Saccharomyces cerevisiae S288C: one gene and its partner. The protein of the gene in region 1 purifies or fractionates together with the protein of each later gene. This does not show direct contact. Each region holds a gene or a part of one and is shown in the gene's direction. Other genes may lie near its edges. The genes, in order: PRS3 and PSA1.

The links.
Region 2: the proteins of PRS3 (region 1) and PSA1 purify together in Saccharomyces cerevisiae (affinity purification with mass spectrometry, with the first as the bait; one large-scale study listed by BioGRID). This does not show direct contact.

Annotation. Positions count from the first base shown.
Region 1 is NC_001140.6:80,154-90,354, reverse strand, and holds PRS3 (ribose phosphate diphosphokinase subunit PRS3), read left to right. Parts: upstream 1-8,738; coding exon 8,739-9,701; downstream 9,702-10,201. Other genes in the region: YHL009W-A (gag protein), read right to left, coding at 3,205-4,446; YAP3 (Yap3p), read left to right, coding at 5,295-6,287; ETP1 (Etp1p), read left to right, coding at 6,634-8,391; YHL012W (UTP--glucose-1-phosphate uridylyltransferase), read right to left, coding at 9,938-10,201. UniProt on the Saccharomyces cerevisiae protein: 5-phosphoribose 1-diphosphate synthase involved in nucleotide, histidine, and tryptophan biosynthesis. Active in heteromultimeric complexes with other 5-phosphoribose 1-diphosphate synthases (PRS2, PRS3, PRS4 and PRS5).
Region 2 is NC_001136.10:349,674-367,642, reverse strand, and holds PSA1 (mannose-1-phosphate guanylyltransferase), read left to right. Parts: upstream 1-10,883; coding exon 10,884-11,969; downstream 11,970-17,969. Other genes in the region: STP4 (Stp4p), read left to right, coding at 1-904; KNH1 (Knh1p), read left to right, coding at 1,769-2,575; tRNA maturation protein LHP1, read right to left, coding at 2,864-3,691; 1-acylglycerol-3-phosphate O-acyltransferase SLC1, read left to right, coding at 4,060-4,971; PBP4 (Pbp4p), read left to right, coding at 5,387-5,944; MCH1 (Mch1p), read left to right, coding at 6,358-7,818; transcription factor MBP1, read right to left, coding at 12,265-14,766; YDL057W (uncharacterized protein), read right to left, coding at 15,223-16,209; USO1 (Uso1p), read right to left, coding at 16,606-17,969. UniProt on the Saccharomyces cerevisiae protein: Involved in cell wall synthesis where it is required for glycosylation. Involved in cell cycle progression through cell-size checkpoint.

The DNA of each region.
Region 1 (10,201 bases):
TTCAATTTGTTTATGAATTCATCCAATCTCTGTTCATTGCTTGCCGCAATTACGCAGTCATCAACATAGACTGCAATCATTAGATTTTTATCCTCGGTTTGGTATAATCCCGGAGTATAAGAGTTATCTTTCAGTCCAATTCCATTCAAGTATTGTCTTAGATGATCATTCCATTCTTTAGGACTCTGTTTTAGACCATATAACGCCTTATTTAGCTTGACTACACATCTCCTATCATGCGGATGTGGGATGTATATTTCTTCTTCCAATTTAGCATATAGGAATGCATGATTGATATCCAGGGTCTTCATAAACATATTTCTGTTGTTTGCAATCATTAAGAATATCTTAATATGATTGTGATTTAAAGATTCTGTAGTTATTACACTGTAAGTGTCTGGTGACTGAGTATCACCTCTGCAGACTATCCTAGCCTTATAAATCCCATTTCTTTTCTTTGTGAATATCGTGTTGGTGGGTACTATTAAATTATCAGGGATTTCTGATCTACTGTACTTCACATCGACATCAAATACCTTCATATCTTTTAAATTCTGTAATTCTTTATGATATGCCTGTTTGTATTCATGTTTTTCTTTGAGGTCAGGATTTTTTGAAATAGCTTCATTATAATATATGGCTCTAATTTTTTGTGCTGAAACTGTTTCCATATTATCTGGAATTAATTTCACTCGATTCCTTTTTGAACGCTTCTTATCTCTTTCTAATTCATAGCTTGTTAGACTATTGTTTTTATCGTGTCTTTTCCGTTTTCTTTTCATGTTCAAAGAACTGAATTCTTTGTTTAAGAAGGCACTTTTATTAACTGTTTGTACTGGTGATCCAGATGCTTCAATATTTTGTTCCAACCTTGGTGACACATTTGTTCCATTGTCAGTTGGTACATTTTTATCGGTGACTTTTAATTCTTTTAAGTTATTACCATCCTGACAGTTTGATTCCATATCAGTTTGATCACTCATATCCACAATGTCCTCAATCGGGGGCGGATGATGATTTTCCTTCTCAAACTTTTCAACTTTGTTTGTGGAATAATCATTACTATGGTGATTGTTAATGCTTTCTAAAGTTTTTATTGGTAAACTCGTATCGCCTGTTTTTAAAGAAATCTCATTGTCTGTATTTCGGAATTTTACATTTGTTCCAATGCTCCCTTCTTTAGGAAACGAAGTTTCATGATTTGTTTTATTGAACTGCTCCTGAATTAGTTCGGGTTTTGCGTTGTGCATTGACTCATCTTTGTTAGTAATAGATTCATCGGTGATATCTACACATCTACTGAGTCCAGTGTTTAAGATACTCCCAATATTTTTACTACGAATTCTGTCGGAGATTCTGTTTTCGTCATTGATTTTAATAGTATTTTTACTTCCTACCAGTTTCTCTTGTATAATCGATGGAATTCTGTGGACTTTTTCATCATACTTATCTTCATCAATATGACTTGTATTTATTAATCCTTTCTTATCGATTTCACTGATGGATATTTCAGTCGATGCAAGTTCTGAATTAAAATCCTTGTTTGACAAAATTTTGTTTTTATCAGTTGAGATTGAAGTATTTGTCGTTGAAAGTTCAGATTCAACGTCATAATCTCCAGATTCCTCAACATCAGAAAATACGTAATCCAAGTCCCCTTCTAGGTTATTACTAGGAGATGGGTATTTTGCGTTTGAGTCTATTTGAGATAACTCTTCCTCTGTGAACAAATCTTCCAGGCGAGTAATTGGTTTATTATCATCTTCGTAGTTTTCCAAAGCTTCACATAAGTTTGTGACCGTTTCGATTTGATCTTCTTCATTATCATTATGTGAACTGAATTGATGACTCTTGTAAATATTCTGAGTATTTCTTACTCTACCGTCCATCGTATAGTTGGGAATTGTATAATTATCAGATGTGACAATTTTATTTTTGGATGGTATAAAGAATTTGTATCCATAACTATTTGGATCTTTGCATAGAATTATAGAAGGAAGTCCAGATGGTTTCAATTTTTTGTGATTATGATTCCAAATTATTCCTTTTTCGCCAAATGGTAAGAATGACATTAATCTCACTGTAACAGGTTGACGTGAGATTGCCTTCAATGGTAGTTTACCTGTACTTTTGTGTTCCAGGCAATTTCTTATATTGGTAGCAGAAGTTACTGCGTATTCCCAAAATTTTACTCTTAAGTTACTTTGTCTTAGGAGTGTTGTTGCATCAGTTACTATTGTTCTGATGTATCTTTCTGCTCTTCCATTAGCAGCATGATCTTGTGTAGAAGTAAGTATGTGATGTATTCCTTTTGAAATAAAATATTCTTCTATCTGATCATTTGTGAATTCAGTACCTCTGTCTGAATTAATTTCTCTGACTTTCCTGTCAAATTGTGTTTCCACGTACTGAATATTCTTTCTGATTTGAGCTAAAATAGTTTCAGCATTCTTATTGAAGTGTGTGGAGGTCATGCAATATCTCGTGTTGTTATCCACCATAATAAGCATGTACCTTTTAGTGTCCGCGTTTGAACTTGATACAGGGCCAAATATATCCATGCACCATGATGATCCTGGTTCATGATCAGTACTATGATTATTCATAGACCCGGTATAATGATTTCTTTTCGTGGCTTTAGAGATTTTACAGGTTTGACACCAAAATTCATTTGGTTCTTTGATTAAGTCAAGGGATTCTTCATAATGATTATGTTTTATGGAATTTTCAATTTGTTGAATTCCTGTATGGCCCATTCTTTTATGAGCATCTTCCAAGGTAATAGACCTTTTATTTAGTTTAAATCCAGGAGAAGAAGTAGGTTTTATTGCATTTATTTTTGAATCATCGGAAGGACGTTCAATTAACTCGTTCATTTTTACGTGAATGACACCATTAACTATCTTGGTTTTAATTTTTATGATTTTGTTTCCCAATCTGGTATATTTTCGACTTAAAACCATTTTGGTTTTCTTGGCTAAGTCATAACAGCTGATTATAGTGGATTCTTCTTCCGGTACATAGTAAGTCAATAAACACTTATTGTCAGTATTGTTGTGACCATTCTTGATTTTTATATAGCCATACCCTTTAACAGACACTGAACTGTTTTTCCCAATACCAAAAAATCGTGTACTGCGATTACTGTCTTCGTAATTATGCAGTAAGGTTTTGTCATTGGTAATGTTTACGCCGGAACCGGTATCAATAATTACCAGTTTTTTGCTGTTGTACACTTTGTTTGACTTTTTTTGTGTCTTGTTCCAAGACTTTTGTTCGTTTTGCACTGGACTTAAGTTGTTGTTGTCTCTGTGCACCTTGTAGATAATAGGTTTTTGAGAAATTGGTCGAGTCAGGCCTAAGTTCCCTATTTGGTTTCTTTTTGCAGTTAATTGAGCAATGGAAAACAGATTTGCAATACATGCAGCTATTTTCTATTTGATCGTCTGCAATTGGGCTCAAATCAATTACTGTTTCAATAACAGTATTGATTAGAAATTCTTCGTGATTAATTCCTACGTTATGTGGAATGTTGTACAAACGTTGTTTCACAGAATTTCTTAAGGATTCATGTAAGGTTCCCATGATAGCTTCTTGTAGGTAATCCTTTAGATTAGGACAATCTTGGCAGCATTTAGAAAAAATCCATTTTTCCATTAGTACCAACTTTTGAAGTTTATTCATTAACAATGCGGAATTTCTACATGTTGTATCAACCAAAACCTTTTCCCAGGCTCTAATTCTGACATCTCTACCATGTAAACTTCTATATTTGTTTTTTAAACCATCGATTATCCTAAAAATGTCAGTTGTATTTGTGTTCATGATATCTAAACTTTCACCGAGTCCTTCTTTGATTATCTTGCACAAGATTTCATTTTCACGAGGATCGATTTCTATGATATCATTTTCAAAGACATCATCAAATTGATATTTCTTGATGAATTTTTTAAAATTGTTTAAGAGAATAGGAATGTTCTCGACATTATTAGTCCTATAATCAAAAACACAATCCTTAGGGTAGAATCTTTTGTTGGTTGAAGTTAACGTATCGAATAAATAGTAAGTCCCTGTAGCATCTATATGTTCATGTAATATATTATTGTTCTCGTTTGTTTCCAATAATTGTATCTTTTCAACTAGATCCACAATCCTATTCTCAACCTTGTCAATGGTTTCTCCGAGTTTTAATAATTTTTCAGCTAGCATCTGAATATCATCAGTCTCAGAAAGTTTTTCCTCTTCTGCCTTTAAACCATTTAGTATGGTTTTAAACCTATTTAAGTTTCTTTGATATTGTTTCACCTGTTCATCTTTAATAGAAACTTTTCTTAATGATGATGGCGTCTGTCTGACAGTATCATTTGTTTTGACTTTCGATTGAATCCGCGCAGAAATGTTGTCGTCAATAACATTTCTTGTTTCATCCCTCACTGGGGTCGCCATGTTGATAATTAGAGGTAAAAAATTAGTATTAATGAAGAAGTGAGTACTGATCTTCTTATACTAAATAAGAGAGGTATATAAAACACACGCCGATTGGTCATATTAATTATGACCAATATAATAGTGATTCCGGTAGTTACTATACATTGATGTGACGACTCATATTCCTCATATATGTACCTACCATAACATGTTCAACTAATAGGTCTTTAACACCGCTTCAGTATTGTCTGAGCTTCTCGTTTAACATTCCTTCTGCAATAGGCGCAATCACACTTAAACGTATACGAGTTGTACATTAATATACGATGTAAGCATTAGATTGTTACCATAGCAACTCATGTCACTATCAATTACTCTCGTTCCAACAGTATGATTCATATTTTATATAATATATATAAGATAAGTAACATTCCGTGAATTAATCTGATAAACTGTTTTGACAACTGGTTACTTCCCTAAGACTGTTTGTATTAGGATTGTCAAGACACTCCGGTATTACTCGAGCCCGTAATACAACATAATCAATAAGAATTTGGTTTCGTGGTCTAGTCGGTTATGGCATCTGCTTAACACGCAGAACGTCCCCAGTTCGATCCTGGGCGAAATCAATTTTTTTTGAATTTTTTTTTTTTCTTTAGAAAAATGTATAGTGGATTTTCGTAGCTTTATGTTAAGAGTACAGCAACGGCATTATTATTCAATAAGCATTATAAAACAGATCGATTTGAATATTACCGGAGGCCCTCTGAGCTTTCTTATTTGTTTATCATTTCGATAAAAGGGGCAGTAGGTGTTTGCTTTACTTCCAGTATAAACTAACGAAGAATAAGGCTGAAGCAATTGTTATGACGCCTTCTAATATGGATGATAATACCAGCGGATTCATGAAATTTATTAACCCTCAATGCCAAGAGGAGGATTGTTGTATCAGAAATAGTCTATTCCAAGAAGATAGCAAATGTATAAAACAACAACCAGACCTATTGAGCGAGCAAACAGCACCCTTCCCAATTTTGGAAGACCAGTGTCCTGCTTTGAACCTTGACAGATCAAATAATGATTTGCTATTACAGAACAACATATCTTTCCCTAAGGGTAGTGATCTTCAAGCAATTCAACTAACCCCTATTTCAGGCGACTACTCTACCTATGTTATGGCAGATAACAATAATAATGATAATGATAGTTATAGTAATACAAATTATTTTTCTAAAAATAATGGTATATCTCCAAGTTCGAGGAGTCCCTCAGTTGCTCATAATGAGAATGTTCCAGATGACTCTAAGGCAAAGAAAAAGGCTCAAAACAGAGCCGCCCAAAAAGCCTTCAGAGAGAGAAAAGAAGCCAGAATGAAAGAATTACAAGATAAATTGTTAGAAAGTGAAAGGAACCGCCAAAGTTTATTGAAAGAAATTGAGGAACTAAGAAAGGCAAATACTGAAATCAACGCAGAGAACAGACTGCTACTGCGGAGTGGTAATGAAAATTTTTCAAAGGACATAGAAGATGATACCAACTACAAATATTCTTTCCCAACGAAAGATGAATTTTTTACCTCTATGGTCCTGGAAAGCAAACTGAATCACAAAGGCAAGTATTCGCTAAAGGATAATGAAATTATGAAGCGAAATACCCAGTATACTGACGAAGCAGGAAGACATGTACTAACAGTCCCCGCCACCTGGGAGTATCTTTACAAACTTTCAGAAGAGAGGGACTTTGATGTGACATACGTTATGAGCAAATTGCAAGGACAAGAATGTTGTCATACCCATGGACCTGCGTATCCAAGAAGTTTAATCGATTTTCTAGTGGAGGAAGCTACTTTGAATGAATGAATAGACTTTGACAAAAATAACTTACAAACACTAAATAAGAAAGGGCAGGCAACATCTTCATGAGGCAAACCAGGTTCTTTTTTTATTGACTTCGAAGTATACATTTTCATCGCATAATTGACACACAATACGCCCTTTACCATTCCAACCTACTACACCTTTTACTTATATAAGTGTATAAACTATGTTCTTACGCGGTGTTTTTAGGGGACGGCCTGTTATAAAATGGAAAATATAAAAATGAAATTTCACCCGCGGATTAAGTAAAAGTTCAAAGGAAAACACATAGAGGCAATAACGGAATAGTAGCATTGAATGTATTACTTTCTGGTTGGCCCTCACATCTATGGATCAATTTGAGTATATCATTACTTTAGAATTTGGAAACCAAAATCAGGTTGAATCCGCTTATCAAATTTTCAAGAGTATTCCGAAAAAGTTGAAGGCAAAAAGTATCGGGGAAGAAAGTATTAAAAGTAATAATCAAGACTGGCAGGATTGGAGAGTCTGTGACTTGGAAATAGACATGATAACTGATTTCAAAAATCAAACATCAAAAGAAGAGGAAAGTGATTTGATTACTTCACAATACTTAGGCCATGGGATAATAAGGCTATTCAAGCTAAGCAATGCCAATAATACTCTTAATGAGAAGGAGATTTTGACTATCCCGGGAGATGATACTATGATATGTATCCTGTTTGTTCCAACTTATTTTACCGTTCACGATTTATTGCATTTTTATATTGGTGATGATATTGTTAATAAGCAAGTTTCAAACTTTCGTATATTACGAAATCAGCAGAAGGGAATGGGTTTTAATTTCACGGTCTTAATTAAATTCAGGAATGCACTTGATGCGAAAAATTTCAAGGAAGAGTTCAATGGCAAAAGTTTCAGCAGGATGGATCCCGAAACATGCCATGTGATCTCTGTAAAAGAAATAGTTTTTCAAAAAAAGCTCTTCCAAAGACCAGCCGCTAACGAGGACTTCCCCTATCTGCTTACTGATCCATTCACTGTTAAGAAAAAAAAGGAACTGGTAAAAGTCGAACTCCCCACATGTCCCGTTTGCCTTGAAAGAATGGATTCAGAAACTACTGGATTAGTAACGATCCCGTGCCAGCACACTTTTCATTGCCAATGCTTAAATAAGTGGAAGAATTCAAGGTGTCCAGTGTGTCGACATTCAAGTCTGCGGCTAAGCAGGGAATCATTATTGAAACAGGCAGGTGATTCCGCACATTGTGCAACATGTGGTTCCACTGATAATCTATGGATTTGCTTGATCTGCGGTAATGTTGGATGCGGTCGTTACAATTCCAAACACGCAATCAAGCATTATGAAGAAACTTTACATTGTTTTGCGATGGATATACGGACACAAAGAGTGTGGGATTATGCGGGTGATAATTATGTCCATCGCCTAGTTCAAAATGAAGTTGATGGGAAGTTAGTAGAGGTCGGCGGCTCCGGTGACGATGACAACAATGATATAGGCAACTCCGATGAACTACAAAATGTTGTTTACGGGAACAGGAGCAAAAACGGTGAGAAATCGAACTCTAATAAAAAAGATGGCGAGCTGGCGGCAAATTTTTTAAGGCATAGGGAGTATCATCTAGAATATGTGCAAGTCCTAATATCTCAATTAGAGTCTCAAAGAGAATATTATGAACTGAAATTACAAGAAAAAGATCAAACTGCGTCTGATTCTTCGAATGTTGAAAGTTTGAAGAAGTCTATGGAAGATTTGAAACTCCAATTTCAGGTCACTCAAAAGGAGTGGCAGAAAAGGGAAATGGCCCAGAAATCTAAGCTTGAGGAAGATATGTTAGTAATCGAAGGACTACAAGCGAACCTAGATCACTTATCAAAAAAACAAGAGCAGTTAGAGCGAGAAAACAAAGCGTTAGAAGAGTCTAAACAAGATTTGGAAGAGCAAGTCAAGGACCTAATGTTTTATCTAGATTCTCAAGAAAAATTCAAAGACGCTGATGAGAGTGTAAAAGAAGGTACCATCCTAATACAGCAACCACATGGGGCAGCACAGGCATCCAAAAGCAAGAAGAAGCGCAACAAAAATAAAAAAGCAGGGAAATGATTATCTTCATCACCGCCATACCATTCTTGCATTCTAAATTTATTATATCTCTGTGTACGGCAGGCTCATCGATTTTTCTTTTCTTTTTTTTTTTTTTTTTTTTTTGCCTGCGAAAATTTTCCAGTCGAATAGTAAGTAATAGGATGAGTTTTATAAAGTTATGATTGCGAACGGTATTATTCGCTAAACTCGTATCTGTTTATAATCACGTACCCTCTTATTTACTTACTTTTTCTTGAATATATCTAAGAAAGATTCATACTCTTTTTTCTACGTACTTTGCCAGCGCAGGATAAACGAACCTACCCATTCAAACTGAGCCTCATATATTCACTTAGGATTACAAAATGCCAACAAATTCCATCAAATTATTAGCACCAGATGTCCACCGAGGTTTAGCTGAACTTGTTGCCAAAAGGCTAGGTCTACAGTTAACAAGCAGCAAACTAAAGAGAGATCCAACCGGTGAGGTTTCCTTTTCTATTGGAGAATCTGTTAGGGACCAAGATATCTTTATCATCACGCAAATTGGCTCTGGTGTCGTGAACGATCGTGTTCTAGAACTACTGATCATGATCAATGCTTCGAAGACTGCGTCTGCAAGAAGAATCACTGCTATTATTCCAAATTTCCCATATGCAAGACAAGATAGAAAGGATAAGTCTCGTGCTCCTATTACCGCTAAATTGATGGCCGATATGTTAACAACAGCCGGGTGTGATCATGTTATTACTATGGATTTGCATGCTTCCCAAATTCAAGGGTTCTTCGACGTCCCAGTAGATAATTTATATGCAGAACCAAGCGTAGTTAGGTATATCAAGGAAAATGTCAACTATATGGATTCAATAATAATTTCGCCAGATGCTGGTGGGGCAAAACGTGCTGCCACTTTGGCTGATCGTTTGGATCTAAATTTTGCATTGATCCATAAGGAAAGAGCTCGTGCCAATGAGGTTTCTCGTATGGTTCTTGTTGGGGATGTTACTGATAAGATTTGTATCATTGTTGATGATATGGCCGATACTTGTGGTACTTTAGCTAAGGCTGCTGAAATTCTTTTGGAGAATAGAGCTAAATCTGTTATTGCTATTGTCACGCACGGTGTTTTATCAGGCAGAGCTATTGAAAATATTAACAATTCTAAACTGGATAGAGTTGTTTGCACAAATACTGTTCCATTTGAAGAAAAAATCAAGAAGTGCCCAAAACTGGCAGTCATTGACATCAGTAGTGTGCTGGCTGAAAGTATTCGTCGTTTGCATAATGGTGAAAGTATTTCTTATTTATTTAAGAATTATCCCTTATAAGTGACTGAAGAATAAATGGGGAGAAAAAAAATACTACAAAAATGATGAGTGATTTTCAGAATTTGATAAATACCTACGTATCTGATGTGTATACTTCTCTTCCCACAAATTGCAATGTAATGCCACTATTGCAATGTGCTCCAGTTTTTTTTTTCTGTGAGGATACATGATTCCTCTTACATAGTGGGAATAGAAGAAAACTTTATTCATGCATTTTACCCAAAAGTTTCTCTTGTTTAATATCCATTCATATCCTCCAGCTGAGATTTATGCCAAATCGTTACATTTTCCAAAATAGAGCCATCGGGAACAGTAATTACATCATTTTCATCACATATTATAATGACCGTCCCTTTCAGAGTTATATTACGACCAAAAAACACATTTCCCATCACAGTTAAATGCTCTAATTCCAGAATATTAGGAATATCTGGTACTCCTATCTTAAAAGTCTCATAAGTTGCAAACTCATCGCCCAAGTCGATTGAAGGTAATAATCC
Region 2 (17,969 bases), on another chromosome or scaffold:
CACCCCCTCACCACCAACTCAACACCAGAGTATATTGCCAACCGCGGTAGATAACGTACCGAGATCAAAATCCGTGTCCAGCCTACCCGTTAGTGGATTCCCACCTTTGATCGTCAAACAACAACAGCAACAGCAACTCAACAGTAGTAGTAGTGCCTCTGCACTACCGTCTATTCATTCCCCATTGACTAATGAACATACAAGCAGGTATTCATCGTCTTTAAAGGATTCCGCCAAGATAACGAAGCAAAGAAAGAAAAAGGAATGCCCCATCTGCCACAACTTCTACGCCAACCTATCTACGCATAAATCCACTCATTTAACTCCGGAGGACAGACCGCATAAGTGCCCTATCTGTCAACGCGGCTTTGCCAGGAACAATGATCTGATAAGGCACAAGAAGCGCCATTGGAAAGATGAATTTATGCAAATATACGCAAGGGAGTCCGACAACAATAGTGGTGCTGACGATCAAGATGACACTGCCCGCACCTCCGCAAACAACGACAGCGACGACTCAAACGATAAACTCGCTGCCTCATCCTCTTCCGAAGAAACAAAACTACTGAAGAAAAACCAATTGAAATCACTATACAAGATTAAAGGTGCATTCAAGTGTCCTTACAACTCTACTCTGATCAATTTGGATATGGAGGTGTATCCACACAAGTCTAGATCACTCTATTTCGAGCCAATAAACTGTCATCAAACGGGCGTTTTTTCGCGCTGTGATACTTTCAAGAATCACCTAAAGGCTTTGCATTTCGAGTACCCGCCCAAGACCAAGAAAGAAGATAGAGGTGTTGTGCCGGGGAAGTGCAAGCATTGTGGACTGCAATTTCCGAACGTTGACGTCTGGCTAAATAAGCACGTGGGGAAAGGATGTGGCTACTCATATCACTAAAACCAAAGTCATTCACCGACTCATACATACACACACATACATACATTTATTTATTTATGCCCTAATAATACACATCATTTCTGCGTAAATTATTGTTACGCTGCCCTACGTTATTAATCTAGATTCTTGTTTTCTCTCTGTGTCTCGTTTCTCTTTTTAGGCATGAAGCGAAAAAATCAACAACCGCTATTGACAGGAAGCAAGCTGGCATGAGCCGTTTTTTTTACTTTTTTTGATTTTACCAGAAGGGCGTTGAGACCTGCATCAGCCGTTTGCGGATAGGTTATGCCAGTGATGAAGCACCTGATTCAACTGCCGGCTCTCCGATTGGTCTCCGATCGTTTAGTTCCTTATATTGTACACTATTTCAGCTGTACAAGCCTAGGCCCGAATCGAATTATAAGTCCGTCCGGCTCAAGTCATGGACTCATTATCGATTCGTCTTTTTTTAGCTGCCCCCACGTTATCTCTTCTTTTTTTTTTCTCTGCATCGCGGCGAGTCCCTTGAAAGGGTCGCGAACCTTCGAAGCAGCACTTCTTTTTTTCACATGAGAATGTAGTCCATTGCGTAAATCCAGTCTTTGCGGCTTTCCCTTCTTCCTCATCATATTGTTGACCAACTCCAACAGAAAAGCACATTTCCTCTTCACCAATTTTCTTCTTTCTTTTTTGAAAGTACGAACATGTAAGGGACATTGGACATTATGTGCTCGTTCATGTATAATATTACATGAGGTAGTTAGTTACGTAAATTTATAAAAACGTATCGATGAAAGTTGCACAGAAGTAAAAAGTAAAGTATACAAGTATTACGTCGACTTCTTAGGTAGGTAACAATAATAAAAAATCAATTACGTAAAACGTATGCTGATAGTATTATTCTTAACATTATTTTGTTCGGTAGTGTTCCGAACAGCTTATTGTGATGTGGCCATTGTGGCTCCAGAACCCAACTCAGTTTATGATTTATCTGGTACAAGTCAGGCTGTTGTCAAAGTAAAGTGGATGCATACAGATAACACACCACAGGAAAAGGATTTTGTCAGATACACGTTTACTCTGTGTTCGGGTACCAATGCCATGATAGAAGCAATGGCTACTCTTCAAACACTCAGTGCGAGTGATCTGACAGACAACGAGTTCAATGCGATAATAGAAAACACCGTTGGGACGGACGGTGTTTACTTCATACAAGTCTTTGCGCAAACAGCTATCGGTTACACCATTCATTACACTAACAGATTTAAACTAAAAGGGATGATTGGTACAAAAGCCGCTAATCCGAGTATGATAACCATTGCACCAGAGGCACAAACAAGAATTACCACAGGAGATGTGGGTGCCACGATTGATTCTAAGAGTTTCACCGTTCCCTACAACTTACAAACAGGTGTTGTGAAATATGCTCCCATGCAACTCCAACCGGCTACTAAGGTAACAGCAAAGACATGGAAAAGGAAGTACGCGACCAGTGAGGTAACGTATTACTACACTTTAAGAAACTCCGTTGATCAACATACTACCGTAACACCAGGGTGGTCATACATAATTACAGCTGATAGTAACTATGCTACGCCGGCCCCTATGCCGGCTGATAATGGCGGTTGGTATAATCCACGCAAGAGACTCTCTCTGACTGCAAGAAAAGTTAATGCTTTGAGGCACAGATAATGAAATAATACAAAAAAAAAATTTATGAAAATGGACAAATCGATTTATTATATTCGTTAACATTTTTTCTGCTTAATTATTGTTATTCTATTTTTTTTTTTTTTTAAATGGATGAGCTGTATTCCATTTTAACCAGTAACGGTAATTTTTAATACTAATAAAAAAAGGAGACAAATAATATAGTATTAGTTGTAATTCATATTGTGTTTCTGTTTAGTACATATGTTAGTACATATATTCTTAATATGCTATGATAATGAGATACGAGAACCAGAAGAAACACAAGAATCACTCCTTGTGCTCCTCATCGTCATCGGCAATGGCAGAAGAGTCCTCTTTTGACTCTTCCTTGCCGTTTTTCTTCTTATTTTTGGGGAATTTAGGCAAGTTTTTCTTCTTATGGCCGTTAAAGGATCTTGATCTACCGCTGAAGTTTTTGGACTTCGAGGCCTCTCTCTGTAAATCAAACTGTTTTTTCGTCAAAACACTCAGTTTCTTACCTTCATATGACAAAATTTCGTTGGACTCATCGTCATTGGAATACGATTTCAAAAAAGCTTCACATTCTGGAATTGTCTTAAATTCCACCAAGACCGTACCATTAAATTTCTTGTTTCTGTGATCTCTTCTCAAACGCACTTGGTTGATTTCACCTAATTTTTTGAAAAAGGCTTCCAAGTTCTCCTGCAATTCAGGAATTTGGGAAGCTTCAACGTCCTCATGTGGGAAATTCATTACAGCCAAAGTCCGTTGGTTTTGCTCAATTCTGGCATTTCTGGCAGCAGTTAGGTCCAAAGGAACACGTCTCTTGACGTTCTCTCCATCAGCAGATACTTCCAAAATTTCAGAACTACGTAGTGCTTCGATAACCTTATCCACTGGTCTATATTTCTTCATACGGTTGAATGTGGCGATGGTGCTGATGGGGACCCATCCATCGTTTTTTTCCGCTGTTGTGCGCAAGAACCTGTCATATGGAAAGTTGAATTCAGAAAAGTAGAATTCCACTTGCTTTAAACATCTGTCCAAGACTTCTGGAGTAAATTCAATCACAGCAAATGAATTACGTCTTGATTGTGGTTTCTCTTGCTCCTCTTGTTGTGGTTTTTCAGACATTACTTCTTTGCAGATGCTACTTTAGTTCCAGTAGAACCAAATAGAACCCATTTTTTGGAAAAAGAAAAAAATACATCATAGCGATGAGATGCGACTCTGTGCTTTTGATTTGGTTGTAATTCAAAAATCTTGAGATATTGCGATGAGGTTGGGCTGAACACATTACACTAAGACGAAGACGAAAATTTTTTCACGGTCACGAGATGGATCTCGTGAATGATGATATCAATTATGCTTCCTTTGTTTTGTTGAGAATATGGTATGGTGTTCAAAATACTTATATTAGGAAGGGTTTAAGGTGAAGGGGGAATTCTTCAATAGAGAAGTTTAGTGGTTTCCCTCCGTCAGTGAATTCGAGCAAAAAAATAATGAGTGTGATAGGTAGGTTCTTGTATTACTTGAGGTCCGTGTTGGTCGTACTGGCGCTTGCAGGCTGTGGCTTTTACGGTGTAATCGCCTCTATCCTTTGCACGTTAATCGGTAAGCAACATTTGGCTCAGTGGATTACTGCGCGTTGTTTTTACCATGTCATGAAATTGATGCTTGGCCTTGACGTCAAGGTCGTTGGCGAGGAGAATTTGGCCAAGAAGCCATATATTATGATTGCCAATCACCAATCCACCTTGGATATCTTCATGTTAGGTAGGATTTTCCCCCCTGGTTGCACAGTTACTGCCAAGAAGTCTTTGAAATACGTCCCCTTTCTGGGTTGGTTCATGGCTTTGAGTGGTACATATTTCTTAGACAGATCTAAAAGGCAAGAAGCCATTGACACCTTGAATAAAGGTTTAGAAAATGTTAAGAAAAACAAGCGTGCTCTATGGGTTTTTCCTGAGGGTACCAGGTCTTACACGAGTGAGCTGACAATGTTGCCTTTCAAGAAGGGTGCTTTCCATTTGGCACAACAGGGTAAGATCCCCATTGTTCCAGTGGTTGTTTCCAATACCAGTACTTTAGTAAGTCCTAAATATGGGGTCTTCAACAGAGGCTGTATGATTGTTAGAATTTTAAAACCTATTTCAACCGAGAACTTAACAAAGGACAAAATTGGTGAATTTGCTGAAAAAGTTAGAGATCAAATGGTTGACACTTTGAAGGAGATTGGCTACTCTCCCGCCATCAACGATACAACCCTCCCACCACAAGCTATTGAGTATGCCGCTCTTCAACATGACAAGAAAGTGAACAAGAAAATCAAGAATGAGCCTGTGCCTTCTGTCAGCATTAGCAACGATGTCAATACCCATAACGAAGGTTCATCTGTAAAAAAGATGCATTAAGCCACCACCACATTTTTAGAGTAGTATATAGACCCAAAAACTGTAATTATCTTTTTAAAAAAGTAAAATGACTTACGAATGATTCTGATGATTTTATTTATTACGACTCATATACCCAGCGTAAGAAGTGATCAATAGACCGCTACTTTATTCGGAGAAAGAGAAAAGAACTTTCCATTGTAATGTATATATAACACCAGGCATGTGTCAAAAATGTGAGACTAAATAGAAAGAAAAATACGAGGAACAACAAATAATACGATCTTGTGCATATTTTTTCCCTTTTTTTTTTTAATTCTTTTTTTCTGAAATTTTTCATTTGTTCACTGTTTAATATCTATCCATTTTTGTTTCCGAATTTTCATTAACTTTATTACTTATTTACGATACAATTTTCCCTTTAATCTAGTACGAAATGACAACAACCTCAACAACCAGTGTAGATGGCAGAACCTCCTCGACTTTGAAGGCTACTTTATCTGCTTCAGGTCCAAATTCAAATGGTCCAACGCCCGCTGTGCTTCCTCAGAAGCCAAAATTAACAGGTTGGGCGCAGGCAGCTGCCAAAGCCCTTCCAAGGCAACAGCAACAGCAACAGCAGGCACGAAAAGATGATTCCGTGGCTGTACAACCTGCTAATACGAAGACTAAAACCATCGCATCTACCGCGCCGCCTGCTAATATAAAGGGTAGTTCCACCGCCAATGGATCATCCACAAATAAGAAATTTAAAAGAGCGAATAAACAACCTTACAATAGAGAAGAAGTTAGATCGTATATGCACAAATTATTTCAGAGCTATACCGCTGGTGAAAAAAGTCATTCAATGAAAACTTATAAGCAAGTACTATCAGAAACGGCAAGTGGCAGAGTTTCAACAGCCACTGACTGGGGTACTGTATCAAGCAGTAAAAATAAGAATAAAAAATACGGCTGTTTGTCCGATATTGCTAAAGTTTTAAGAAACCAATGAGAATATCGAAGCATCACGTTTCATAACGCAAAAAGGAGTCAAACAAAAAATGAAGTATGAAGTCAAGAAAACGAAGAAAAGAGGAAAATAGAAGAAATGAAAATATTATTTTACAAGCGTAAATAAAAATTTTATAATTCATAATGTCGAAAAATGTATACTGTGTTAAGACGCCTTTCTTTGCTTTTTCTCTTAGTCTTTATTGCATAGTTCACTTAGCCTTTCCGATGCTAGCGGCTTTTCGCATCGTTCGGAAATTAGTACCTTTCTTTTTGCCCTACAAGAAAAACTATTATACAGTGTAAATACAAGATAACAGAGACCGCTACTCAGACAGCAACTTCTAACGTTTCATCGAGACTAGTTTCCTTTCATATCATTTTATAGCAATAACCATTTTCCAAGTGCAAATCATGCCTCTATCAAAGGTGGAGCACTACCTTTCATACCATACGCGCTTACTCTTACCCCATGTTTTGTCTCTTCAGTCATCACATCGTGTTGCATACATCTTTTCGCTATTATCTGCGGTGTCAACTGGCTTCATTACTTTGATATCTCTTTACTCTCAACCGTGGCAGAAACATTTAAATTATTCCTCATGGCAAATCAACACCATCGCTAGTATGACTAATTTGGGGATGTACTTGACGCCACCAATCTTGGGGATGATCGCTGATTCTCATGGCCCCATTACTTTAAGTCTTTTAGCCATCATAGGGTTCATACCTAGCTATTCATATCTGGCTTACGTTTTTAATCATCCGGAGTTATCTCTCGGAGGAAATGGTGACTCATCATTCAATCTATCCATCATTTGTTTCGTTTTCATAGGTATATCAACAAGCGCTTTATACTTTAGCGCTTTACTGACATGCACTAAGCTATATCCTCATACAAAACTACTATCCATTAGCTTACCAACGACATGTTATGGTATTTCTTCTGTAGTCGGTTCTCAACTGCTAAGAATCAAATGGTTCTGGTCCTCTAACGCAAGTTCTTCCTCGTCCAATAGTGACTTAAACCTGGGAAGAGTATTCCAAACATTTGCCCTCGTTTATGTCGTTATTGGGCTACTTGCATGGATAGCCACCAGCGTGGTATCACTTTTGCATTTTAATGAAGAGCAAGACAACCAAAAACGGCTGGATGATCAAACTGATGTGGAACAATCACCGCTGTTAGAACGAAGTAATCATGTTCAAGAAAAGTTTACGCAGACGATGCTAAGGATCTTTAGTGATCCTGTGACATATATCCTAGCGGTATCAATTTTGTTATCACTTGGGCCCCTCGAGATGTTTATTGCCAATATGGGATCACTGACTAACCTGCTAGTCCAATTAGATGCGCCAACCTTATCTACAAAGTTGTTATCCACATACGCGCTATCTTCCACTTTTACGAGATTGCTCACAGGCATAGTGGCAGACTTCTTCGCCAAGAAAAAAATATCAATTAAATGGATCCTGTTGACTTTCCTTTCATTAGGGGTATGTGCACAACTGTTTTTATTGAAAATGACCTCTTCAGCGTCACCCTGGGGGCTAGTACCTACAGGATCATTGGTTGGAATTGTATACGGTGGACTTTTCACTGTTTATCCGACGCTGGTCCTGTTAGTATGGGGCGAACGCTCATTCGGGACTGTTTACGGTAGCTTACTAATTGCACCTGCTATAGGTTCTATGATATTTTGCATGTTGTATGCCAAATTTTACGATTCTCGCTGTATGAGTGGCGGAGGAGATCTGCGAAATCCGTCCTGTATTTCGGCTGTCTACAAGTACAGCAGTATCGCATTCGTTGTATCCGCTGTTCTTTCAGCTGTAGTATTTTGGAAATTAAAAAGTAGAAAACTCAGAATTTAAACAAAAAAGAAACTGCTACATTTATTTTTTTTAAAATTCATAGCTTATATAAATGACACCAATAAATTGCACTTATTTCTTTTATGCTATGCTATTGTTTTTGATACCCTTTTAAAGGTACCGGTTAAAAATTGAGAGAAAAAAAGAAAGAACTCCTCATAGGGGGCTCGAACCCCTGACATTTCGGTATCCTTGCTTAAGCAAATGCGCTTAAAAGCCGAACGCTCTACCAACTGAGCTAACAAGGATGAGTTCTTCGGAGAATCCTGGACATAAATTTGTCCATGTTATTTTAAAGTTTTATCAGATTTGCACTGGTCTTTACCGTTCCAACACTTTGTACATGTTGATAATAAGAATAAAATATCATCCATCGACTGCTATTCTTCATATCAATTGTACATTATCATATATGATGTAAGGTGATTGGGAAACAGTCATCAGATCTTATGGAAAATAAAATGTGAAGATTCATAATATGATAGGGTAATGAATGGCAACATATAAACGAATAAGAAAATCCGCTTCTAAAAAGAACGGAATTCACCAAGTATCCCAACATTGACCCATTTCTTATGCTTACATATTGTTATTTTTTGCCCCTGTCTTAGTAGCAGAGCTTTCGTCACATGTTCAACTAAATTCCAAACAGTTGAACTTTTTGTTCTACTGATCTTGTAATTCATGCTTCCTTCTATGCAACACGCCATACTAATTTAGTAGAATGAACAGTAACTGGTGAACGATGACTCTGTAGTAGAATACTATAAAAAGGTGGCATCGTATAAAGGTGCCTTCTTTGACCCTTGGCAGGTAGGGCGGCAACGGCACAATGATATTTTATTTAACAAAAAGATACGCTAACACCGCATCTGAACACGTAATACTACTATATGACTTGGAACAAATGGCTAATCAATAATCACATATGTTCGACCGCTGCAGGAAAAGAGAAAAGAAAGCAGTTTCTACAAGCAAGAACTTGGAAATACAGACAAACCTCCAGTACTTTATTAGGATTGTCCATTCCTCACCCAGATATGTTAAATTCGATACCAATGTGTTTTGATTCACGCGCAGAAAGAAGGACTTTCCCTGCTCTGCTCGGCAAAAACATACACGTTGTCGACCGAGCACGACTGCCGTTGTCGAAGCCACCACTGTCACTTCTCGTTTAATATCTTTAATCGCATCATCTATAGTTCCTAATTCTGCATTCCTAACACTGTAGCCTATCCAGCAAAATCATTCCCATTTTCTCTTTATATGTGCCTAGATTTTAAAATTTTGCTTAAGATGATTTACATTGAGGGGGGAAACTTGCTTTATCCGCTCCTCCAATTGATTCAAGAAGTATGGGCGCTGACCTACCATCTCAATTTCTTGTTTCACTCGAGAATTGTCACTGAGATAGTAAATGTCTAGAGAATCCTTTGCAACAGGAGATTTCAAATTTATATTCTTTGTGTTCGCATTCGCTTCCCGTCTGTTACTCGTTCCCTTACCATTCTATTATGCATTGCAGATCTGCCAAGTAAAAAAAAAAATACCTTGGTGTACACACCACCCATACATTATCTGACAAGGAAACAAAAGTAATGACAGTAAATTGAAGAACTTGTGATGAGCCAAAAAGAAGAATGTGTGCACTTCTTTTCGTATTTTTATGGTAAAGCCAGTTGGTGGCTTTCTTTGACGATATGAAACCCAGGATCCCATGCTGCCTATGTTGCATTTATGTAATTGTCTGTATGAAGCTCGCATTTTAGAGTTACTACTATGTGCTTTCTATGCAGTTGCTTGCCGCAGCCAAGACGTAGAGATTTCTTAGACGTGCTTTTTATTTCTTATGAAAGTAAAGAGTGTGTATACAACGAACTATGTTAATAATTAGTAGTACCAGAACATTGACTTTCGTAAGGACCAAACGGCATCCCTATCTCGGAAGAACACCACATGATGCAAGTTCTCCTGCCTACGAATAGTTCGTCAGGTGCCAGCACTGAGACCACCCAAACTAAAGGCAATCGAAAACTATACCACGTTTATCGTTATGTTTCGGCGGCTCACCTTGTATCAACCTGCTTGGCAAGCTGCTCTGCGAGGCTCCATTTTTTTACATTTTCAAGAGGAGTACATTTCACCTTAAAAAACGGCACGGAGAAAGCCTAAACTTGGTTGCATATACGCAATTACAAATCTTTTATAACTACTTCTGATTCTGTGCACGACGTGCCACCCGGTACAGTTCAAAGGTCACTATACGCACTGTCGATCGAGCCAACCCAACCCACAGAACATCCTAAAGCTTCAAATCGAAACGCGTACAGTCAGCATTCTTCATGCTGCACCCGATCCTTCTTACCGCGTGCTGGGTGAAAAGCAAGACTAAGAGCAAGACCCTTGGATAACGGCACCAAATGGACTACTTTCGTCCTTTCCTGCAACTCTGACTATAGCTTTTTCTATCATTGCCTAAACCAAACCGTCCACGCCACCTCACCAGCAACGCACAGCATGAAGAACGCGAAAACAGAAAAAAAAAACGCCAAAAGAAACGGCCACCGTGTACTTGCTGGCCAGCTAGAAATGCCTCGGGAGCCACCACGTTTATTTTTATCTCAATCTCTGAAAAACTTTTTTTTCTTTGTTTTTGTCGTTTTTCAGCATGAACAGCGCAGCAATAAACAAACAAACAAACAAACAGACGAACAGACACAGAACCACAGCTGACCGGTAGTAAAGTAAGCTGGTGGTTTCTCGCTTTGTTTTCTTTTTTTCCTTGCCTCGTGGCGCTCTTGTAAACATATATATAGTAGACTTTTCACGTCATTGTTAGAAGTTTCACATAGTCTTGTTTTCTTTTCTCCAAAACTGTATTTTTTTTTTCTTTGTCTATCTTGTTCTCACCTCTTTGACTTTGATAACGTTCATCAAGTGTGCAAACTACTTTACATTCGCTAACTCTTTTCTTCTGTCCAAATATTTTGTTGACTATACAAACAAAATATTATCAGCACAAGACAAGCTACAACTTCAACAAATAAAACATATATAATTGAAAAATGAAAGGTTTAATTTTAGTCGGTGGTTACGGTACCAGATTGAGACCTTTAACTTTGACCGTTCCAAAGCCACTGGTTGAATTCGGTAATAGACCAATGATTTTACACCAAATCGAGGCTTTAGCCAACGCTGGTGTTACTGACATCGTTCTTGCTGTTAATTACAGACCAGAAGTCATGGTGGAAACTTTGAAGAAGTACGAAAAGGAATATGGTGTTAACATCACTTTCTCTGTAGAAACTGAACCATTAGGTACTGCAGGTCCATTGAAATTGGCTGAAGATGTTTTGAAGAAGGACAACTCTCCATTTTTCGTCCTAAACTCCGACGTCATTTGCGAATATCCATTCAAGGAATTGGCTGACTTCCACAAAGCTCACGGTGGTAAAGGTACCATTGTTGCTACCAAGGTCGACGAACCTTCTAAATACGGTGTCATTGTCCATGATATAGCTACTCCAAACTTGATTGACAGATTTGTTGAAAAGCCAAAGGAATTTGTTGGTAACAGAATTAACGCCGGTTTGTACATTTTAAACCCAGAAGTCATTGACTTGATTGAAATGAAGCCAACTTCAATTGAAAAGGAAACTTTCCCAATCTTGGTCGAAGAAAAACAACTATATTCCTTCGATTTGGAAGGTTTCTGGATGGATGTTGGTCAACCAAAGGACTTCTTGTCTGGTACCGTTCTTTACTTGAACTCTTTGGCCAAGAGACAACCAAAAAAATTGGCTACAGGTGCCAACATTGTTGGTAATGCCTTGATCGACCCAACCGCTAAGATTTCCTCCACTGCTAAGATTGGCCCAGACGTGGTTATCGGTCCTAATGTCACCATCGGTGATGGTGTTAGAATCACCAGATCTGTTGTTTTGTGCAACTCCACCATCAAGAACCACTCCTTGGTCAAATCTACCATCGTAGGCTGGAACTCTACCGTTGGTCAATGGTGTCGTTTGGAAGGTGTCACTGTCTTGGGTGACGACGTTGAAGTTAAGGACGAAATCTACATCAACGGTGGTAAAGTCTTACCTCATAAGTCTATCTCCGATAATGTTCCAAAGGAAGCTATTATTATGTGAGTTAGGAAAACGAACTGTAATGAATATAATCTATATCACTCATCTGTTTTTGTTAATTTTATTTTAGCCAATATCATTATAAAAAGAGGAAAACATGCACAGAAAAAGCACTGCTTACTGTTATGTCTTAGTTTGTAATTGAAAATGAAAAATAAAAAAAAAAAAGAAAATAAAGAAAAAAAGGTTGATCCTTATGTAACTTTTTATTTACGTAGAAGTTAATAAATATTATCTCATTGTTTTATCTATTTTTCAGTATATGGATACATGTAAAGTTCCTCTATTTATGTATATTTTATGCATGACTATTCGCGTTTGAGATTGTGATGATCTGTTCTGCGCCCTTATTTTTATTATTGTTGGCTATCAATGTCTGTAGTATTACATCCAGCGAACTATCTACTTCTTCAATATTCATTTCCGTACCTTCCCTGATAATCCGTCTATATTTATGAATCTTGGCATTGTCTTCAAATTTCTTCACCAAGGAACTCAATTTGTTTTTCCTTTGTAATTGCAACATCGTTAGTTCTTGAGCCAATTCCAACCTTTCCAGCGTATTATTATCTTTCTCAACTGTGTTATTGGTGGTAGCCTGAGTTTCATCTTCTATTAATTTGTTCAATAAAACCGTTTGCCTGTATTCCAGCTTTTGTTTTATCAACCGTTTGTATCGTATGAGCCTTTTTCTCAATTTCTTAGTATTTTGTTCTTGTAGACGAGATAAAATTTCGAAGTCATCATTAGTCTGAGCTTCGCCGTTTTCATCTTTACTGCTCTCTTTCAATACCTCTAAAGTTTTTAGGCTTACCTGTATTTTCGTCTTAGAAATGCTTTTTAAAGTTTTTTGCAAACTTTTTATTTCGTTGTCATGCTGTTCATGAAGATCGTTGTATATGCTAGCCATTTGCTTCATAGAATTCACTACATTTGGAATATTTCTTGATATATTGGTGGCAATTTGAGATGGATAGGTTATGTAATCCGAAGGAGAAACAGGCGACATGATTACCATTGAATTAACATCATTTTTCGTTTCAATGTTGTTTGTATTAACGTGGATATTCAAGTCCGTGTTTGAAGAATTGACATGTTGATTTGTACCATTTTGTATCATCATTTGCTCATATTGTTGATTCATTATTTCATTGGCGGTTAATCCTTCCTTATTGGAAATAGTAGTTAATGCACCCATTTTGACCAGTGTATTAAAAAAAACAACATCTCCATTTTTAGAAGCAATATGAAGTGCGGTATCGCCATTTTTGTCTTGTGTGTTTAAAAGTAATTCAATTCTATACTGTGGGGAAAAATCCTTGATCTTAGATAGCACAACATCAAGATAATAAACTGCAGAAGGTGTTGTTGATTTTCGTTTCACAATATGGTGAATTACTGTTTGTGATTGCGAATCGATATCAAATACGGTCTCGTGCAGTAGCTGGAAAATTCTAGGGAAAGTTCTTCTAGTGTATGAATTGTGGAATAAGGAACTTCTCATCAATGGAGTTTGGCCTTGAGAATTTGTCGATCTGATACTTGTTCCGGCTTCGTACAACGCCTCAGCAATTGGTAAATTACCCATAGAACAAGCCCAATGGAAGGCAGTATGTAATTCTGGATCGATTGGAGCATCTATATAGGGAGCGCTGTGTGGAGGTGGGTGCAATAACACTTGTGGTAGGGACTTATTTGACTTCATTTCATTGGAAATAAAATAATCAACCAATTTTGAAAGGTATTTGTTAACTTTATCATTAATATCCGATGTTTGAGGCCTTGAAGTTACAGGATAACGCGGGATCATGGAAATAATAGGAGATGTTCCACCACCGGGAAATCGCTCTTCAAATGGATTACTATCGGCAAAATCGCCCGGTGACGTAGGTAATGAAGGAGAGGAAGATACGGACGTGGCCATTGATTCTGTTTGCTGTGTCTGTATCAAGGAAGATTGTTGTTGGGGTACAAATCCAGTATTTTGATTAAAAACTTGTTGTAATTGTTGTGAAGGTTCCACATCGCTTGATAAGCCGTCCTCAAGATCAATTTCTTTGAACTGTGCAGAATTATTTTGTTGCGGCTGCTGCTGTCGAGAATCGTGCCTTTCTTCTTCCAGAATACCCAATGTAGGGGATTGTGGTCCCATGGTGGATCTAATAGAGGGAAGTTGCGTTGTCGATATTGAAGAATTCGGTATCGCCGGTCTAGGAAATCCCATATCACTTTGAGAACGTTGTAAATTGACACCTAACTTCCGCCTACTTCCCCTCGTAGATCCTACCGGTCTACCTCTTTTCCTTGGTGCAGCCGTGGGATTTCCCAATATTTTGCTGCTTTGAAATTGATTTTCCTCGGCTTTCTTGTTGTTTCTTTTTGTTTCCATAATTGCGGAAGTACTTGCACTTCTAATAGCCTTTTTCCTATCCACCTTCGAGGCATGGTGATGTTTTGGAGCAGGAGGTGGAGAAGCAGACCCATCTGTTTGCGTAAAGTCGAACAACGGTTTCAGCTGATCGTAGACACTAAATTTTTCTGCCAGTTGTTTCGCTATGTTCAGTGGGACCCATGTACCCTGATATTTACCAAATCCACCCTGAACTTTTTCATGAGTTTCCTTAAGTACTTCCTTCTCTAGAATCCTTGTTCTTTTAGCCTTGGCAAAATTGGCGGCCTTTAAAATATGTGTAGCATTGACCCAATCATCCTTTTTCCTTTTCATGATAGATCCTGTAGAATGAATGAATTCATAAACATCAACCCCCGAATATCTCGCTGAGTATATTTGGTTAGACATGCTTGTGTTTCTGGGATTTACGTTGTGTCTCGGAATGTTAAGCACGATTTTGCAGACCAATCGCACTTGATATGATGTTTAGTTATATGAATTACAATGGGCTTTATTTTCCGATGGCTCAATCTTGTGCAAGTTATGTTGATTTTGTTTTCTTTTTTTCATTTTTTCATCTGTTGATTATACTAATCGGATGGAAAAACAAAGCAGTAGTAATTTAACAATCTAACAATCTCAAGCGCAAGAGAAAAAAGGAACGTAAATGAATTATCTCTAACGGCTAATGGATGCTGAACATGTGGAATACCAGTTTAATCACGATCAGAAATATCGTCTCACAGCGTAGTATTGCCTCTATTTGATCTTAAACTGCAATGCCGACGACTTTATGCGGGTGATCCCGCAAAGTGACCAAACTCAGCACAAGACTTATCTTAGATTAATATGTAGTTGTATGGTCTATGTATCTTGCAGGTATTCCATAATTAGATCAACTACTAGTGGTGAGTAGTTGACTCTACCCCTCCTTATCGGTAAGCCTAGCGCGTTGGGATCACCTTCAATGCCATAATAATTGTGGTCCGCATTTTCAATAAGTTTCAATGAATGTCTGCCCTCGAAAAGCCTTGCATAATTTGAGGCTGCGCTAATTGGCACTATGTGATCACACATGCCATAGCAGGACATTACTGAACAAGTTTGTGGTATCGTGGCAAATTCCGGAACGCAAACGCCAGCGATACTATAAGTCTCACTTAATGGTATCCAAAAGTCTTTGTATTCGCCATTTCGTGGACCATTCGCCCAAAACCCACCTTCTGCTTGCCAATGCGGGTGCAGTCGTGTGCAGCGTTCAATAAGTCCTCTCCCATCATATCTTCCAGCGCAATTGATCAGGTGAGACGGTAATGGAGATTCAGCTGCATGTAATTTTAGACAGAATTTGAACATGGCAAGAGATCCTCTAGAATGTGCCACAACCACGTCCAGTGATATTGTACTAGTTTTGTACAATTGCACCCTAAGAGACCTGTCAGATACTGTTTGGTATACTGTACTCAAATCTTCAAGATCCTGAGCGAGCGTCCTACCAAGGCCAGGGTCGCAGTTATCTGAGGAATCACCTTGGCCCCTAAAATCTATTCTTAGTACCCAATATCCGAATTCGGCCAGCCTTTTTGCTAGTAAAGTTTGATAAATAGCGTTCTTGTGAGATTGACTTCCGTGTAGTAACAATGCTAGTTTATTTTCCTTGCACAGTAATTTACCATCTTCTTTATTTGCAGTTGATGAATTTCTCTTTTCTGGGTATGAAACTATAGCCGCAATTTGATAAGATAAGCCGTTCATTGTACTTGTAATATATACGAATTTTTCATTTGCTTCCAATTTGATATAGGAGGGGGGAGCACTTTGTATTTGCACAGTGACATGTTTTTTTTCCATTTCGACTTGGTTATTTGACAAATATTCCCTTTTCTGATCTTTTTAGTACTTTCATCACTCCTGTAGATCTGCATCGGCTTTTCGCTATTTTTCCTTGGCTTATTATAATGCGTAAGCGTTTCTCGACAGAGATATTGCGACGCTGAGAAAAAAAAAGGAAGTTCTATGCAAGGGACATTAATGATATATTAGACAATTGTCTACGTGAGCTCACATATTGTTTGCACAAACTATACTTTAATTAGAAGGCGTGAAGTAATGTTAGATGTTATAGAAAATATAACATTTAGTGTCAGTAAAATGTATATATGCATATATAATTACAAAAAAGTAGTGCTGCCCACATAATCAAACAGATCGTTCAAGCGATTTGTTTATGCACATATTTTAACTCTATCATGCCACTTGCCCTTCTTCCTCGTCTTCTTCATCATCTTCTTCATCATCCTCTTCATCCGAACTAATTTCAACGCCCAAATCCTTCAGCTTTGAGCGATATTTGGCGTTTTTCTCATCTAGGTCAGTAACCAAGAGCATCAAGTCATCAATTTCCGAACGATCTTCGTTAGCTTCCTTCAACTTAGAGTTCTCTGCCTTCAAGTTATCCAGTTCTTTAGCCAACTTTTCAATTTCTTGTCTCTGAGAATCGGTTGTCTTTTTAACAGTATCTTCATCCCTTTTCCATGCTTGCTCTTTATTCACCAAATCGTTGTATTTAGTTTCAAGCAACATGGCTTTTTCATCAAGTTGAGACTTTTCGACTTGAAACTTCCTGACTTCGGCCCTACGTTCTTCCTCGGATTTTTGTGCCTTCTGTTGGGTGCTATCTAATTCCTGTTCTAATTCCTTGAGGCGCGAAGTTAGTAATTCTTTTTCTTCTTGATTACTTTTTATTTCGGCTTGCTTGTCTTTGAGTTCACGTTCTATATCTTCTAATTTAGATTTCAAAACTGTATTTTCTTCTGCGTTGATCCTTATTTTTTCTTGTGCGTTATTTAGCTCTTGTTTTACGGTTTCTAGTTCAGAGCCAGATTTTGCTTCGATCCTCAGTTTACTTTTCAGTTCTTCAATATCCTTTTCAGATTCGTTGATTCGGGATATCAAATCTGACTTCTCATGTTGCAAGTTTTTAATATCCTCCTCAGCACTTTTTTTCGACTGTTCTAATTTTTCATCTGATTTCCTTATGGTTTCCATTGAGGATTTCAACTCCGTTTCATTGCTCTCAATCGTACTCTCTAGCTTTTTCATCATTTCTTTAGACTTTTCAAGCTCTGCTTTCTCTTTTGAAGATTCTTCCTCAAGTTTTTTCAGCCCTTCTTCAACTTTAGCTTTGGATTCTTGTGCAGCCCGGAGTTGTTCTTTCAAGCTCTCCAGGTCTCGTTTATTATCTCGCTCTATTGATAGAAGCTTTTCGTCATTTCTAGTTATTTTGTCTTTATATGAAAGAATTTCATCTTGTAAGCTTTTTATTGTGTTTTGTTTCTCTTCTAAAAGCTCATCATTGCTTAAACTAACCTTCTCTAGTTCACTCCTCGTATTATCGATCTCTTTGGCTTTTAATTCGTTTTCATTTTGTAGCCTAATTAATTCATCTTCCAAAGTATTGATCTTTTCAGAATATTCTTGTGTAATTGTTGAAGATCCTTCATTAAGTAGCTTTCTTTCCTTTTCGAAGGCCTGATTTTTGATTTGTATTTCATTTTTCAATTTTTCCAATTGCTCCTCTGCATTTTTTCTTTCCTCAGAAGATGTCTTCT